3 linked regions of the Drosophila melanogaster genome follow. The protein of the gene in region 1 purifies or fractionates together with the protein of each later gene. This does not show direct contact. Each region holds a gene or a part of one and is shown on either strand. Other genes may lie near its edges.

Region 1 (5,959 bases):
ATACTCATTCTGCGCCTTCGCATCCTGGACACATTTGAACTCGACCCTGTCTGGCAGTCTGCGCCAAAGTGCCAGTTGGAAAGCAAGACACTATGCTACCTGCCACCAACAGAAGACGAGGCATTCCACACCGCCCAGCAGCGCTTTTTCATTGATCTCCTGGAAGAAGTAAAGAAATTGAAGCCCGACAGCATTGTCTTCCACAAGTTCCTGTTTCTCACCCATTACGCGGCGTCGCTGCTCTTATTTCTCATAGAGAGCGTTTATCAGGATTGTTGTTTTAATAGCAATCAAGCGCAAACTCTCACGTTGAGTAAGCTAAAAGATACGGCTAACAGTGCCTTGGAACAGGTGCTGGAACTTCTTAAGGACGAGCAGGCGGGGGCCATTCACAGCCTGCTGGACATTAAGGAGCTGCAGAAGAACCAGTTCAGCAAGGCCCTCATTCAGCACAACAACAGCATTGTAATGACCTGCTTCCGTAGCATGTTGGGCGAGGAATCATTTCCCATGCCCGTAGCTCCGACATCCAACTCAGATGTCGGTTCCATCCAAGAGTCGGCAGCTGTATTTTAACATAACGAACATGTATTTCTCACTTGCATCAAATTACAGTGCTACTTTTACAAAACTAGGTACTCTGCCGGGGAAATATCTGCTTAAATGTTTTCTGAGGATAGTTTTTCATGGATCAAGAATGAAAATTAAATAACTAACAGAAAAATCACAAGACTAAGGGGTAAGGGTACACATGGGTTGTGGACTGGCCCACCTCCTCCAGCTCTACCTCCGCCTATCCGCTAGTCGGCCGGACGTTTTTCGCTGTGCTTCTTGGTGTAGTCCTCGGCGTTTTTCACGAATTTTTTGCGATCCTTAAGAAACTCCTCGGCCAACTCCGCCCGCAGCGGATGCTCCGGCTCAGGGTCGTTGATTAAGTCCACCAGTGCCTGCACGACCTGGTCGGTGCGTGTGGCCGGTTTCCAGTTCTCCGTACTGATAATGGGCAAGCACACCTGGCCCTTCTCATCGATGTTTGGATGGTAGATGCGTGTCTTAAAGTTAATCTTGGGCGGCTTGAAAGGATACTCCGCCGGAAAGTTGATCTCGATGCGGAAGGCGCCCTTGTTGTACGGCGGATTGTCCGGGACAATCAATCCCGTCCAGCGCAGCAGGTTGTCATCGTCCGCCTTAATGTCCCGGAAGGACTTCAGTGCGTTGCCCTGCAAATCGCTCAATTCTTTTCGCAGGCGTCGCGGCGCAGTCATCGTGATGTCTATGTGTGGGTTCTCTTATGCTGGTGTGTGCGTAGGTGTGTGTGGAACGGAAAGAGGAGGGGGCCACCTTGCCAATGTGTGCGTGTGCACTTTTGTTTGCCCTTGTGTGAGCTGCAAATCGATGGTTTTGTCTTCCGGATATGTAATACTCTCGTTCAGCCGCCGGTGTTTCGTTGTTGGTGAGCTCCTAGTGCTCCAGTTGCGGGGTGTCACCTTTGGTTTTCGCACTGGCCCAAAAAAATCCGCACGTAAGTCTGCGAATTTCGCTGAAAATGGTTCGTTGAAGAATCTTCCAATTAGCGTTAGGGTATTTTGCAGACTTGCTCGCAACGGCGCTGCAATTGGTATACATATACATTGGTCATGTATAACTTTGTCTTGATTTTGCAACTTGCAACGGCTGTAATATTATGTTTAATACTAAATAAATCTTTATTGGAAAGTATTTATTATAGATGTATATTTTAAGAGAGGTAACAAATGAAAATAAAAGGGTTGCTGTTTCCAAATGGATTTGTAACCGATTACCAGCAGCAGTGGCGGCAAGCCAATCGATAGGCAACCGTTTCAGGCGATTCCCATCGCTATCGCTGACTGCAACACGTGCGCCGCGTTAGTTTTGTTTTTACCTCAAAATGACCAAAAAACTAGCTCTGAAACGCAGAGGAAAGGATTCGGAACCCACAAATGAAGTGGTGGCCAGTTCCGAGGCTTCCGAAAACGAGGAGGAGGAGGAGGTAAGACCCATTGACAGTGATATAAAAAGTCATTTCAAAATGACCTGCATGTGTGTTTGTGCTCTTTAAGGACCTGCTGCAAGCTGTAAAAGATCCCGGCGAAGATTCAACAGATGACGAGGGCATAGACCAGGAATACCACTCGGATTCCAGTGAGGAACTGCAGTTCGAGAGCGATGAGGAGGGCAACTACTTGGGCAGAAAGCAATCTTCATCAGCTGAGGAAGATGAAGAAAGTAGTGATGAAGAGGATAATGAAGAGGAGGAAAGCACTGATGGAGAGGAAGTGGAAGATGAGGAGAAGGATTCCAAGTCAAAGCAAACAGACGATAAGCCCAGTGGAAGCGGTGCCGCGTCTAAAAAAGCCCTTACAGCAGAGCTCCCGAAACGGGATAGCTCGAAGCCTGAGTATCAGGATTCAGATACCTCCGACGAGGAGGACATAAGAAATACTGTAGGCAACATACCCATGCACTGGTACGACGAATACAAGCACATCGGTTACGACTGGGATGCCAAGAAGATTATTAAACCACCACAAGGAGATCAAATTGATGAGTTCCTGCGTAAGATCGAGGACCCAGACTTTTGGCGTACCGTCAAGGATCCACTTACCGGTCAGGATGTGCGCCTAACAGACGAGGACATTGCTCTGATCAAGCGCATCGTTTCGGGTCGCATACCCAACAAGGATCACGAAGAGTATGAGCCCTGGATCGAATGGTTCACATCGGAGGTGGAAAAGATGCCCATCAAGAACGTACCCGACCACAAACGCTCTTTCCTGCCCTCAGTTTCCGAGAAAAAGCGCGTCTCTCGCATGGTGCACGCCCTCAAAATGGGCTGGATGAAGACCACTGAGGAAGTGGAACGCGAGAAGCAGGCCAAGCGCGGTCCCAAGTTCTACATGCTGTGGGAAACGGACACCAGTCGGGAACACATGCGCCGCATCCACGATCCAGTCTCTGCGCCCAAACGCGACCTTCCCGGTCATGCCGAGTCCTACAATCCACCGCCAGAGTATCTTTTCGATGCCAAGGAGACCAAGGAGTGGCTTAAACTAAAGGACGAGCCACACAAGCGCAAGCTGCACTTCATGCCACAGAAGTTCAAGTCGCTGAGGGAGGTGCCCGCATACTCGAGATACCTTCGGGAGCGTTTCCTTCGTTGCCTGGATCTTTACCTGTGTCCCCGTGCAAAGCGTGTCAAGCTGAACATCGATGCCGAGTACCTTATCCCCAAGTTGCCCTCGCCGCGTGACCTGCAACCCTTTCCCACGGTGGAGAGTATGGTTTACCGTGGCCACACCGATCTGGTGCGGTCTGTTAGTGTGGAGCCCAAGGGAGAGTACCTCGTCTCCGGTTCGGATGATAAAACCGTCAAGAGTAAGTACTAATTTAATTGACAACCTTTTAGATATCTTCTTACTAATCCATCTCACCTCACAGTTTGGGAAATTGCAACAGGTCGTTGCATTCGCACAATCGAGACCGACGAAGTGGTACGCTGTGTGGCTTGGTGTCCAAATCCCAAGCTGTCTATTATTGCGGTGGCCACTGGCAATCGCTTGCTGCTCGTCAATCCTAAAGTGGGCGATAAGGTGCTGGTGAAGAAGACCGACGATCTCTTGGCTGAGGCGCCCAGTCAGGATGTCATTGAAAGTGAACGCATCAAGACGGCGGTGCAATGGTCAAATGCGGAAGCTGATGAGCAGGAGAAGGGCGTCCGCGTAGTGATTACCCACTTCAAACCCATCCGACAGGTGACCTGGCACGGTCGTGGTGACTACTTGGCCACAGTGATGCCCGAAGGTGCTAACCGCTCGGCTTTAATTCATCAGTTGTCCAAGCGGCGCTCACAGATTCCATTCTCCAAGAGCAAGGGTCTCATCCAATTCGTGCTCTTCCATCCGGTGAAGCCCTGCTTCTTTGTGGCGGTAAGTGGGTTAATTTTCTTTTGTTAGTATGTCTTATTGAATTCTGTTTTTTCTTTACAGACGCAACACAACATTCGCATTTATGATCTGGTCAAACAAGAGCTTGTCAAGAAGCTGCTGACCAACTCCAAATGGATATCGGGCATGTCTATTCATCCCAAGGGCGACAATCTGCTGGTGTCCACCTATGACAAAAAGATGCTCTGGTTCGATTTGGATCTGTCCACAAAGCCCTACCAGACCATGCGACTCCATCGCAATGCAGTTCGCAGTGTTGCTTTCCATCTTCGATATCCGCTCTTTGCTTCCGGCAGCGATGACCAGGCTGTGATCGTCTCCCATGGCATGGTCTATAAGTAAGTGGCTATAAATCAACATTGCCCAAGGTTAATTACGAATTTCTCCAAACTTTTTTTTAGTGACCTGCTGCAAAACCCTTTGATTGTGCCTCTCAAGAAGCTGCAAACACACGAGAAACGCGATGAGTTTGGTGTGCTGGATGTTAACTGGCATCCGGTGCAGCCATGGGTCTTCTCCACGGGCGCGGACAGTACCATCCGACTATACACGTAATTTAGGTGTACAAACCCCAAGAAAGTTTCTTTTAGTTTCCGAAAGTTTTGTGAAATTTCAATAGTAAATAAAAAATATATTAATTTTTATGAAAAGTAAAGTATTTCATATAACCATTTCATTCGAACATTTTAAAAACAACGGTTTTCGAAATCAACGGGATCCCAAAATCAAAATGTAAGTGCAACCCTGCCGAAAGTTTATAAGTTCTGGCCCCAAAGCTTTGCGGTAAATTCCAGTGGGGCGAAGAGTCCCGAGCTTTATTCTCTTTTTCCGACTCGCGCACATGTCTTACCGTCCGTTCTCTCGCGCTCTCCGCCTGTCAGTCCCTCTCCTGTGTGTACCAGGAATTCTAACTGTATAGCAATTCCACAAAGCTTTTCGCTCAGTCCACCTATGGAGCCCTCCCCCGGCTGCCCACTTTCCACTCGCCGTTATCTTGCGTTCCTCGGGAGGAGCGCGCGCATTGGAAAATCAAAATCAAGAGCTGGCGACACGGCACTGCTTGGAAATCAGTCGCCTGCCTTTGCCCGAGCGGAGAGAATCTCGAAACGCTCGAATCGACCCGTCGAGGATTTTGGCTTCAGCTTCTGGGTGCTGCTGGTGCTGAGCAGCCAAAATCGCAGAGCGCAGAAATCGAATGGGAATTGGCTGCCATTGCGGGGGCACCGAGCACGAAGGAATATAATAAAATATGGCCGAGGGCGAAATGTGAAAATGTGAAAATGCCAGTCCAGGCAGTCCAGTGACCACGAAAATTGCAGTTTCCCCCAATTCGTATTCATACACACACACACATTCTCAACAGTCAACGAAAAAAATCGTAAAGAAATTCACAAAAAAAAAATCGAAGCACAAGCAAAACAATTTCGGGGCGAAAAAGAAAAATATATACAAATATACACATTTCGATTCCGATTCTAGTGGCAAAAATTCGTATGTACTCGTCGCTGCTCCTCAAAAACATACATACATACAAACGCGACCCCCTTTTCCCGCCCACCCATTCGCCCAAAAATCCTCAAAGAAAATATAAACGTGTGTGTGGTGTTTGAGTGAAAATCTGAACGGAAGCGCTGGTTCAACAACAAGAAAATAAAACAAAATATACATATAATATACATAGATAGCCAGGCTAAAGGCAATGGTCAACAAAAGAACCCAAGCAGCTGATTTGTGATAAGTGCAACGACCAAAAATCGCTGGCGTTTCGAGTTACAAACAAGTGCAATTAGCTGCTGATGCCTACATGTTGCAGCTGTTGCAGCAACATCAGCACAAGTGGAGAAAATCACGCATACGCCCCATCCGCCCAACGGGCCAAACAATGCGCTCCACTTAGCCAAGTTGCGTGTCAATGTGGTGGTACTCCAGCCCACCCCCTCCTCACGCACACACGCACAGACGCACGCACACAACGGCGCCTACATATATATGTA
Region 2 (5,272 bases), about 12 Mb from region 1:
AATGAAGCGCCGTTCAAAAGAAATTGTAAAACGAGACTAGGAATCTTTTCAAAATACACATTTTTGTTGGGTTGCTTATAAAAACTATAAGATATATATAAAATAAGATTTTAAAATAAAAACATGTGCGCTATTTTTGATTCTTTGGAAAAATCCGCTAGATAACCGGGAAAACAGCTATAAATATCTATTTCCTACTGAACCTAAATGTCTTTGTAGAGCTATAATTATATAGCTTATTTTCAAATTTTACCTATTTCTCTTTAAATTACCAACTGCGTGACCATTGAAATTCACAAGGTTTGGTATATGACACATTTCCTGAAAAAAATCACTTCTTAATGATATTGAGCACCGAAGAAATTAGTTTACATAATTTGGAACAACTGACCCTTCGATGGGTCGAGGTTATCAACTATAGCAATCTCCCTTGTTTTTAGAATTAATTCAAAAAAAATTTGTGAAATGTATGGTTTTTGGCTACCGCTTCTAATAAGATCACGTTTTAAACATCTTACTTTTACTAAACTAGAGTCTTACGTTTTTTTTTTATAAATGACCTATTTTGAACTGTAACCGTCAATAAACTATGCTGACTTAAATAAGCAGATATTCTGCATATTCTTATCAAAAATTATTACCAGAATTATTGACCTGATTGACTGCTTTATAGTTTATCTGCCTATATTTATTTGACTATATTCAATTACAATGAATTCCTAAATTAATCTGTAGCTCGCAGTTCCACTCGCTGTTGTCGCAGAAGCTGTGGATGCGCCCTCAGGATGTCACGTTGTTGACGGAGGTTCTTGATAATTCCTGGCAAGTGCCAGGCGTGTCTGAGCAGACTATCTGTCACATCAAAATGGGCATGCCGCACGCAGCGTAGTTGGGAGCAGTGCGCCACGGTTCGGAGGTCCAAAGCCATATCGTGCACTAGCGTAGCTAAGTACTCCTGCGTCTCGTTGATGGCGTGCAGTTCCAGGGTGAAGTGCGGTCGATCGAAGTGAATCAGCTTAATGCCGTAGACGACGGGCTGACTGTCGTCCGCTGGGCGTAGGAGACCCCTACAGGCCAGTTCATAGGCCTCCTGGGTCTGCAAATCGACACCGCAGAGCTCAAACATCTTACGCTGATGGGATGCCTGCATGGAGGCGGCTAGACTGCTGATCCTGTCTGCGGACACGTGTCGGTGATTGGAGCGCATTATGACCCGTGAGTCTGGTAGGTTATTTTCGGTTGCGATGCCTAGGTGCCCGATTAGATGGTAGACCCGCACTGGTCGATTTTTCCGAATAGAACTAGACTGGCCTGCTCCCCTGTTGATCCCAAAGACTACAAAAGTATGGTTAGATCTGGATTTAAAATGTTTTACATGACTTACGCAGGACTCCGCTGGTGTGATCGCCCAGGCTGGACACTGTGGTGCAGATCAAGTCTCGCGGAAGGTACCGCGGTCCGGTGGACAGAAGGTGGTCGGATAGATCCGTCTGCTCTCCTATGTTATGTAGTACGTGATCTGCTGCAGTGCCTGTGCCCAGGAGGCTAATGTTCTCTTGCAACTTGCGTGGTTTCCTCTGCTCCATTTCGTTGAGTCCTTTTGCAGATCTGTTTTTAATTTCAATTTGTTCTTTAAATGGCGCTAGGCTTACCCTTGCAAATGTTGCTCAGAATAGCATTGCGCACGTGTTTCACCTTCATACCGGATGGCTTGTACACATTTAGAATGCCATTCATGTGCTTAAACACTGTGGCGGCATCATAAACTTTGGTGAGAGCCATTTCTGCTTTAAGTTACGTATGTGCGCTATTTGTTTTTAAATTCACATGACAGTGTTGGTGAACACACACGAACAGCTGAGCACATGTGCTGCCCAGTACTGAATAGGGTATAGACATGCACTTGAAACTTAATTTATAAAATTTACATATAAAATGTTGTTTTCAAATATCTCTTTAATTTTCTAAAAAAAAGTTTAGTTGGAAATAATTCTCAAAACGTTGTGGTCTTTATACCCGCAAAAAAACATGCTTGTATCACTGCAAAACAAGAATTAAGTCCACCGCACGAAAAAACAAGAAACAAATCCGATTGGGCTAAAATTTTCTATAAATTTTACAAATTTCACGGGAATATTCTCACTGTGGCTTGCATACTATTTGCTTGCATTTAAAATGACAACAAAACTGCACTTAAAGAAGTTATAATCAAATAAAGTCTTATGCGTATCACTATATTCTCACAAGAGAAGTGGTTTTCAACGAAAAAAATGTTTTAAACTGGTAAACAGCAAACTGAAGCCTAGTGACTACCCTAAATGTTATTAAAATATCGGTGGCCGTTAGATATCGATATAAACGATAACATCGATTATTAAGCATATGTCTTTTACATCTCTATTGCACGTGTAGGATTTGTTTTGACCGCACGAATTTGTATAGCCGCATACCATTAATTCACGTTTTAATCGCAAGTATTGAGAGAAACCGCGTCTTGAGATGAAGTGGACTACTGCAAATACCAAACATGTAAACTACACGGCGAAGCACGAACTGTATGTGGGAACACACACGGGCTCCTTTAAACGTACGTCCGCTTGTTCTTTATCGAACAGCATAATAATAATGACTTCAACTTTTTAGACCTGGTGCCTGCATCCGAGAAGACCCCTTATGGACAAAGCAACCTGAGTGATCTGTGCGCCCTGGATAAGGATTCCCGCGTCACATCTCTGGCCTTTGGCAACGACGATCAGACGGAGATCCTTCTAGGCCGGGCCAAGGACGCCGTGGAGATTCACTCCTTCACAGAAAAGGGACATTCTAGGAACACAGTATCCTTCAATGCTGCGCCAATTGTTGGTCTGGCCCGATACAATGACAAGCTTATTGCCGGCATTGGCAACGGAGAGATACAGAGCCTGGAGCTAGAGGCGAACGACGAGTCCGAGCCCGTGGTTATCGCCACGGGTGACCAAATGGACCACCTGCGCCAGTGCGCCCAAGTCAAAAGCATTGTAGCAACTGGCGGCAAAGAGCGTCAAAACAATCTAAAGGTCTACGATTTAAATGCCGACGGTAAGCAGATTTTCACCTCGAAGAATTTGCCCAACGACTATCTGCAGCTAGAGGTTCCGGTTTGGGACAGCGATATCGGCTTTGTGGATGGGCCTAGTGTACTGGCCACTTGCTCGCGAACCGGCTATGTTCGCATCTATGACACGCGTAAGCAGCGTCGACCTGTTGCATGTTTTGCCAGCGAGGAGCACGGGATGAGTTTTACGACTTTAGTGGCAAAGGGAAACTTTATTTACACGGGTACCACAATGGGTGCTCTAAAAGCCTTTGACACTCGACGCATGAAAACTCATGTGCATACGTACAAGGGATTCACAGGCGGGATAAGTGACCTTCATTTAGATGCCACCGGTCGCTTTCTGAGCTCTGCAAGCCTAGACCGATACGTTCGTATCCATGATTCCGAAACCACAGTGCTGCTCTACCAATGCTACGTGAAATCAAAGGCCACTAAGATTCTTATCCGACCGTTTGAAAACGAGGCACGAGTAACAGAAGAACCTGAGGAGGTCGCTGACCTTCAAATGGATAGAAACGTGAGTGAAAATAAGAGCGTCAACGCAACATCTGTGGACAATGAATACGAGGATATGTTTGATCAGATGCCCACTGTGGGGTAAGTTTAACTACATATTGAGTGATTTAATAATACGCTAAAATCTTATATTTTGGCCAACAGTGACAGCGATAATGAGTCCGAGGAAGAGATGTCTAATATTAAGCTTTCAAAGGCCGATCTAAAAAGAAGATCGTCGGAAAAGTCTTTAAAAAACAAAAAGAAAAAAGTTGTGATTAGTTAAAGCGACATGTATTTACGTATAAGAATATTAAAGAAAAAATAGTATAGATTTCGGTGGTTTTTATATTAAAGAACTAACAAACATGGCATCGTAGGTAGACACAGAGCTGTTTTAAAAAAGTTTCGTTGCATATTACATTCTGAACTGACTGTCGAGCAAGGGAACATGAGGTGCGTGCAAGTACTTAAAATAAATTATATTGTAAAGATGGAAGCAACAAACGTCGACTGCGATTATAGTGTTTTACCCCCAGCATAAAAATGGATTCGTGGCCTTCCTGTCATTTTTTCAATGAAGTGTTGGGTCTGTAAAAACATTGCAGCTTCTGCAGTCTAAGATAAGGTGTTGTTTATTTCCTATTTCTAAAAACATAATTCTCAAAAATGTTGGCTTTGGGGGACAGTAATGTAGGAGGCAACCTCATTTAAAGAGACGACTCTTGCGGTTCACCCTTTCTTTTATTTATGTTATGTGGAGTCGTGGTTTAGTGGCATTTTAATGGGCTTATAGTATAAGTATCTTATCCCTACTAGAGGAGTATCTTACATATGTTTAAATATTTATTTACACTAGATAGATGTACGGCAACGGAGAAAAATTAATATTGTAGCCATCAATAGTTTGGTATTATTCATCTTAAGTAAGCTTCTGTAAAAATCGTTTTGGCCACATAATATGAGATACACATAATATCATGTGTGTAGTATCTGAAGACATATATACATATGTTTGCCTATAAACTCATATTTCTCATAAACTAGAATTAAATGTTTTCCTGAAAAATGCAATATAGATTATTATAAATGCGTTATAATAATAATATTTCCCACTCGTTTCTAGATAAACAACGGCTTTGTTTTAAAAATTTAAAAGTATAAGAAAATAAAGCCAGAGCTCCTGAATTCATAATATGTTAAACAACAATGCTCATTATTTTGAGTTTAGGAACATAGTTGAAATTTTAATTCCATCAGATGTTCAATTTAAAATTTAATGTTTAAATGAACATTGCAGCTACTCGACCCGAAAAGCCAGAAAATTGCCCAGCAACGGAGACATTAAATCGAAGTTGGAGTCGCGAGATGGCATATTTTTGAATTTGGAGTGATAATTCCTTACCTAAATTAAAGCATGAGCTTTGAGCTCTGCCAAGTCCTAAAATTTCATTTGAACTACATCAGACTAAAAACTTTTAATTTCTTTTTCGAGCTAAAAGTCGAGCAGGTTAATACTAAGATACCAGCCAGCCAACTTCGAAGCGGTTTCTAACGCGAACACGCGTCCTGATTCGATAAGGCAACTCCCATCTTCCAACCCCGGCTGGACGGCCTTCACGGCATGCACACGCACTCGGAATGGTGATGCCGAATTTCGTCCTGGTATCATCTTTGGCA
Region 3 (5,312 bases), on another chromosome or scaffold:
AAACTTCCTATCCTACGACGGCAGGTAAGAATGTACATACATATATGATCCCAGAATTCCTAATCTAGGAACCCATGAACACACATGACAGGGAGCTTACAATCCCTTTTGCCTTTCAACATCAGTTCGTTAGTTTGCTCCGTAGAGAGCACAACAGAGGAAACACAATGGAATAGAAAATATATTCCAAATATTTTTCCCTCCTCCAGGTGGTGGAACTGTACGCTTTTGGGTATGATGCGGAGGCTCAAGTGTTGCTCCAGGACATCAGCGATGACGAGGAGCTGGGCCGACTGCTGCTGGAGATCGCTGGCCGTAGACTTAATCTTTACGCACAGAGCTCGCAGTCCACGTTCCTGAAGATTGCCTCTGTTGGCCACCAGTTGCTGGCCTACCTAGACAACCTGGTAAGTGCTGCAAGCGCATATATCATTCGCAGTACTGATCCATTTCTCACGCCGCTTACGCAGAAGGAACCGATGACGGAGAACAACATTCAGATCGCGGCCACCAAGCCCGACGAGATCGATGTGGCTGCCCTGGACAGGCTGTTGTCGCATGCCTACAAATACCTTTGCCGGCGCGAGTCCAAGCAGCTGCCCATCATTGGCCAGATGTACAACGCCGTGCGTATCCTGCAGAATTAGGAGTGAGGATGACACATAAACACTTGGTTATTTTACATTTCTCTCATGATTTTTATGGATTCAAGAATGAACCCAATATTGATTGTTAAAGCACCACATGCGGTCCCATTAATTGTCTTATACTTATCAACCTAGTAGCGATTTAAACAACCTACGAAAAGCATCATATTAATTACTTTCAAGAAAAAGGATACTAAGATCTGCACCGATAGGAGGATGTATTCAACACGAATTTGATGTGAAGCTTATGCCTACAAGGATTATGAACATGTATATTTAATAAAATAAAAAAAAAAATTTTAATATTCTTTTACTAAATTTAAGGGATACCAAAAGATAAAATAACAATACTTTCTTTATTGATGCCCAACGTAATTTAATTTATATTTGAGCAGGGATCCAAGCGGGTCTTTGAACTTCGTGCCTTGGGCGCTGCCTCCAAGTTCTCCGCCTGTATTCGTCCGATTGCCTCCGGCGTGGGCAATCTCTCCGGCATCATGGTGGCGTGCACTTTGAGATGAGTGTAGACGGCAATGTAGCTCTGGCTGGTGTCCAGTTCGATGGGTGGACTCTGCTCTATGCGGCCAGGCAGGGCAAAGTGCTTGCCAAGAATGGGTTCCTTGAGAGATCGGGCCAGAATTTTTTGCAGTCCATCGCGGTCGGTGTCCAACTGCTCGCTGTTGAAACTTGAATTCATTGAGAATTAATTGAATCTAAGGATTTTGAATTCCAATGTGTAGTCCCTGGAGTTTTATCCGAACAAAAGATACGACGACCCGAGTTGCACTAGGTTAGTGGCACTGACTCCGACTAATCGAAAAACAACAGTTCCTCCTTCATGGCAACAAGTAGTTCAGTTTGGCATACCTTTCGTTTGCGAGGAGCCACCTCGGTTATGACTTATTTATTATTCGAGGCAGAAAGTTGATTCTCTGGTTTGTTCAATTTGGGAACTCGGCTGGGACACGCAAGGCCAAGAAGCAAAGAACTTGTTTCGTGGGTGAAGTTTATCATGTTGATAAACATGTAGAATAATGAGGAATGTCGTTAGAGACAGTTTCATGTGGTTCCTTAATAGTCGCAGGATTGCTTTTATAGGCATACAGTAAACTCACGATAGTGCTGACCTGACCATCTATTTTCTTCGTTAAATAAGTACGCTCAAATAGAATACGTTTGTATATAGATGTGTATTGGGCTTAGCTACAGAATGGGTTATAGAGGTTGAACAATCACTTAAGGGTTTACTAGGCTAGGGTCTCTACAGGCAGCGGGCAATCAGTTCGTTGATGGCAGTGCCACGATCGCCGTACTCGCCACCGCGTTTGTACGAGACGGATACCTTCTTTTGCCAACCATTGCTGGGACTGGACAACTGGAAAAAACCAAATGGCGGTAATAGTATAGTTTTAAGAATTGCAAAAGAGAAGTTGTTAACCAACCGTGAAGGCGCACAGAAACTCATTTACAGCGGCGAAGTTTGGACCCACTGTGCAAATTTCGTGGATTATATCCTCCAGACAGATGACACCCTTGTCGCCCAGCTGTTGCTCCACCATGGTGTTCGACTGGATGGCCGTCTTCTTGCCGTCGATGCGGGCGAAGCCCTTCTTGAAGACCAGCTCGCGAATGGAGCTCAGCGAGGGATTGCCGTAGACTACAAAGGGTTCGATAACGCGCAGCAGCAACTGGTTCTCCTTGGTGTTCTCCATGAAGACGGCGTTGTGGCGCGAGCCCATGCGCAGGGTTCGGAATATATCCGCGGTGGTCTTGTCGAAGATCTTCTTGCCCGCATGGCGCATCACGAAGAGCAGTTTGGGATTGGAATCGTCGGCAGCTTTGGCACTTTGTTCGGTGACATTGGTGCGCAGAATGGTTTGCTTGATCCGCTTGGACGTGCGCTCTGCTTTCAGGTAGCCCATTACGAAGGATTCGGCACGGCGGAATTTGTGGTGATTCTTGGTGGCGGTTCTCTTTTTGATGCGGTCATTTCTTTTCTGCGTAACAACAGATTCATCCTGCAGAATTCTCCTCTTGCGATGCTTTAGCACCGACACTGTTTTGCCGGGCAATTTGTTGGGCACCGCATATCTAGGGATCAAAAGTATAAGATAATGTTTAGGGTCAACACATTTTTATAGTTTTTCAATCACTCACTTGTCTGACATTGCTGGTATTTGGCTTTTTAATCGAAGTAAATTAAAACACGTGCAAGCACCAAAACAATAACTAAAAAGGATAGAGGTGGGCGCGGAGCGATAAGTGCTTTGCTATCGATAAGTGATGTGTGCAACAGCTGAGCGCGTTTCGTGGTGAATAGCTAACAAATTTGAAATTTTTGGCGGGAACATTTAAGAAATTGTATTATTCAACTGAAAACTATGCTTAATAGTTATGCCATAAGATAAATTTAGCATTAGCTAGCATTCAAGAGGACAGCTTTAATGTTTTCTTCTTGTAAGTAACCATTTGACATTAATTTCCGGTTTTGAGCACTCATTTCTCATTTTTTTTCTTTACACTCATTCTCTCTCTCTCTCTGTTTCTCTCTCCGTTTGCTGCTCTCACTCTCTCACTGCGTTTTAGGGTGAAAATTGCGTTAATTTTAGTATGAAAATGCCGGTCTCGATGCCAACGCACAGTCGCTGTTCGCAGTCAAAGCCGTTTTGTTGTGTCCGCGCTCTCGAGGTAAAATAAATCGTGTTTTACGTGCAAAGTCGCTGGGAACAAGATAAACCGAAATTAATCAGCCAAACTGCATTCCAAACCTTGCGAATAACCAACAAAAAAAAAAAGAAGCGAATAAAAGCAATCGAGCAATTGCCAGAAAAACTGCAACTCTGCAACTGCAAAATTCATTGCCACGCGTCGTAAGGTGATGACGAAATCGTGGAAATTGGCACGCGGCAAAGGCGTCACCATAAAAGTGGAGCTCCCCATTAGGCAGCTACACACCACAACATGCCAACCCCAAAAATCACCCTACTTTAAAGCTAAATTTCGTGTATCGAAGATAGTGGCGTCGGGGAAACATTCAAGTTTATGCCTGACAATGGGAGATTAGTTAGCTGCCAGCGAGGCAAAAATCGGGTCTTCTTCACTAGCAATTAGTAACTAAAATCAGCACTATAGCATTTGTTTACAATTTGCGCAACACGTGCTCGCGCCCCATTTGCTGATAGTAATGAAGGCTTTTTTTTCTACATTTCAACTTTTACCCTTCATTCCAGTGACAATGTGCGCTATTCGCCATTAGAAGAGGGTAAGCAGAAGAATCCCACAGTGCAGACATCATGACGGACCGATATGCCAATGGAGTGACCACCAGCCTGGTCGAGCCCACAAATGGATGCGCCGCGCCGGGTAATCCAAATCCCGCTGATGGCGAGGAGAAGATTGTCCTCAAGCGGAAGCTAACACTCATCAATGGAGTGGCCATCATAGTGGGCACCATCATTGGATCGGGCATCTTCATTGCTCCCACGGGAGTCTTTATTTACACCGAGTGAGTGGTGATACAGAGCATCCTCCTTAATTCAATTTATGCACAAAAAAGGTCAATTTAGCTGTTAATTAATGGATAGATTGTCGCAGGCATTCCTTTAGCACCAATTAAGATACATTTATTAGTTCTCGATTTTCCCTCAAAGATTCAACCTTGAAATTCTGCCCACATATTGCGTCAGCTTTTTAAAGTGTTTTTTTTTTTTAAGCGAATTGTCTCCAGTCACAAGAATAACGTCAATAAGGCGCGCCAAACATTTAAATTATTGATAAGAGCCACAAAAAAAGGTGTGCGTCATAAGCTTAAGGCGGCTGCGAAAAATTCCAGGAAGTTAAATTCATAAAAGTATTTTATCGAAATGAAAGCTAATCCCCAGCACTTGTTTTTTTTAGATGTTTTGTTTAAATACCATTTTACTATTATTGCTTACAAATATTTGCCACCGAGTTAATATTAGATCTATATTTATAATTTTTATTGCTTTATATATATATATATGTATGTATTCCCTGACCATATTTGTTTACGAGTGTTTATTTTCATTCAAATTGTTTATTGATTCGATGACTACTTTAAATCATTTCAGATCCGTGGGAAGCTCCCTTTTGATTTGGCTGACTTGCGGCATTTTATCGACGATCGGAGCTCTGTGCTACGCGGAACTGGGCACATGCATCACAAGATCTGGCGGGGATTACGCCTACCTGCTGGTGTCCTTTGGACCGCTGGTGGGATTCCTTCGCCTCTGGATCGCACTGCTCATCATCCGGCCAACCACGCAGGTCAGTTCCTATAGTACTCATCAATTGAATTACGGAATGTTTACTTATTTGGCTTGATTGATCGATGGGTTGTTGATGCAAATAAATAGAAATTTATTAATGGGCGGCTACCTTCGACCGGAATTGAATTCAATTACGAGTAGGACAGCTTTCTCCGCTAGAAACAAATGGCATGTGGGATTTATAGTATGAATACATTGTTTTATTTTTTTTTTTAGACCATTGTGGCTCTATCTTTTGCCCATTATGCGGTCAAGCCATTCTTTCCGGAATGCGATCCCCCACAGAATGCGGTGAAACTGCTGGCTGCCATATGTCTAAGTAAGTTGGTTAAACAATCCACTCAATGTTAATTAATTGAAACTCCCACTCTCCCAG

The links. Proteins that work in one complex are often made in the same cells at the same time.
Region 2: the proteins of CG5033 (region 1) and l(2)k09848 purify together in Drosophila melanogaster (affinity purification with mass spectrometry, with the first as the bait; one large-scale study listed by BioGRID). This does not show direct contact.
Region 3: the proteins of CG5033 (region 1) and RpL7-like purify together in Drosophila melanogaster (affinity purification with mass spectrometry, with the first as the bait; one large-scale study listed by BioGRID). This does not show direct contact.

What each region holds. Positions count from the first base shown.
Region 1 is NT_033778.4:17,787,838-17,793,796, forward strand, and holds CG5033 (uncharacterized protein), read left to right. Parts: upstream 1-1,841; 5' UTR 1,842-1,909; coding exon 1,910-2,011; intron 2,012-2,081; coding exon 2,082-3,396; intron 3,397-3,459; coding exon 3,460-3,947; intron 3,948-4,007; coding exon 4,008-4,303; intron 4,304-4,366; coding exon 4,367-4,520; 3' UTR 4,521-4,611; downstream 4,612-5,959. Other genes in the region: aft (adrift), read left to right, coding at 1-576; Ubc10 (ubiquitin conjugating enzyme 10), read right to left, coding at 801-1,265. UniProt on the Drosophila melanogaster protein: Required for maturation of ribosomal RNAs and formation of the large ribosomal subunit.
Region 2 is NT_033778.4:6,073,486-6,078,757, reverse strand, and holds l(2)k09848 (lethal (2) k09848), read left to right. Parts: upstream 1-2,390; 5' UTR 2,391-2,499; coding exon 2,500-2,587; intron 2,588-2,643; coding exon 2,644-3,694; intron 3,695-3,757; coding exon 3,758-3,878; 3' UTR 3,879-4,287; downstream 4,288-5,272. Other genes in the region: CG7849 (uncharacterized protein), read right to left, coding at 725-1,335, 1,385-1,597, 1,653-1,782.
Region 3 is NT_033779.5:12,053,925-12,059,236, reverse strand, and holds RpL7-like (ribosomal protein L7-like), read right to left. Parts: upstream 2,890-5,312; 5' UTR 2,816-2,889; coding exon 2,805-2,815; intron 2,739-2,804; coding exon 2,090-2,738; intron 2,023-2,089; coding exon 1,909-2,022; 3' UTR 1,345-1,908; coding exon of another isoform or gene 1,024-1,344; 3' UTR 986-1,023; downstream 1-985. Other genes in the region: Rab3-GAP (Rab3 GTPase activating protein), read left to right, coding at 1-24, 210-407, 471-647; CG34164 (uncharacterized protein), read right to left, coding at 1,024-1,344; JhI-21 (juvenile hormone Inducible-21), read left to right, coding at 3,941-4,152, 4,739-4,934, 5,153-5,255.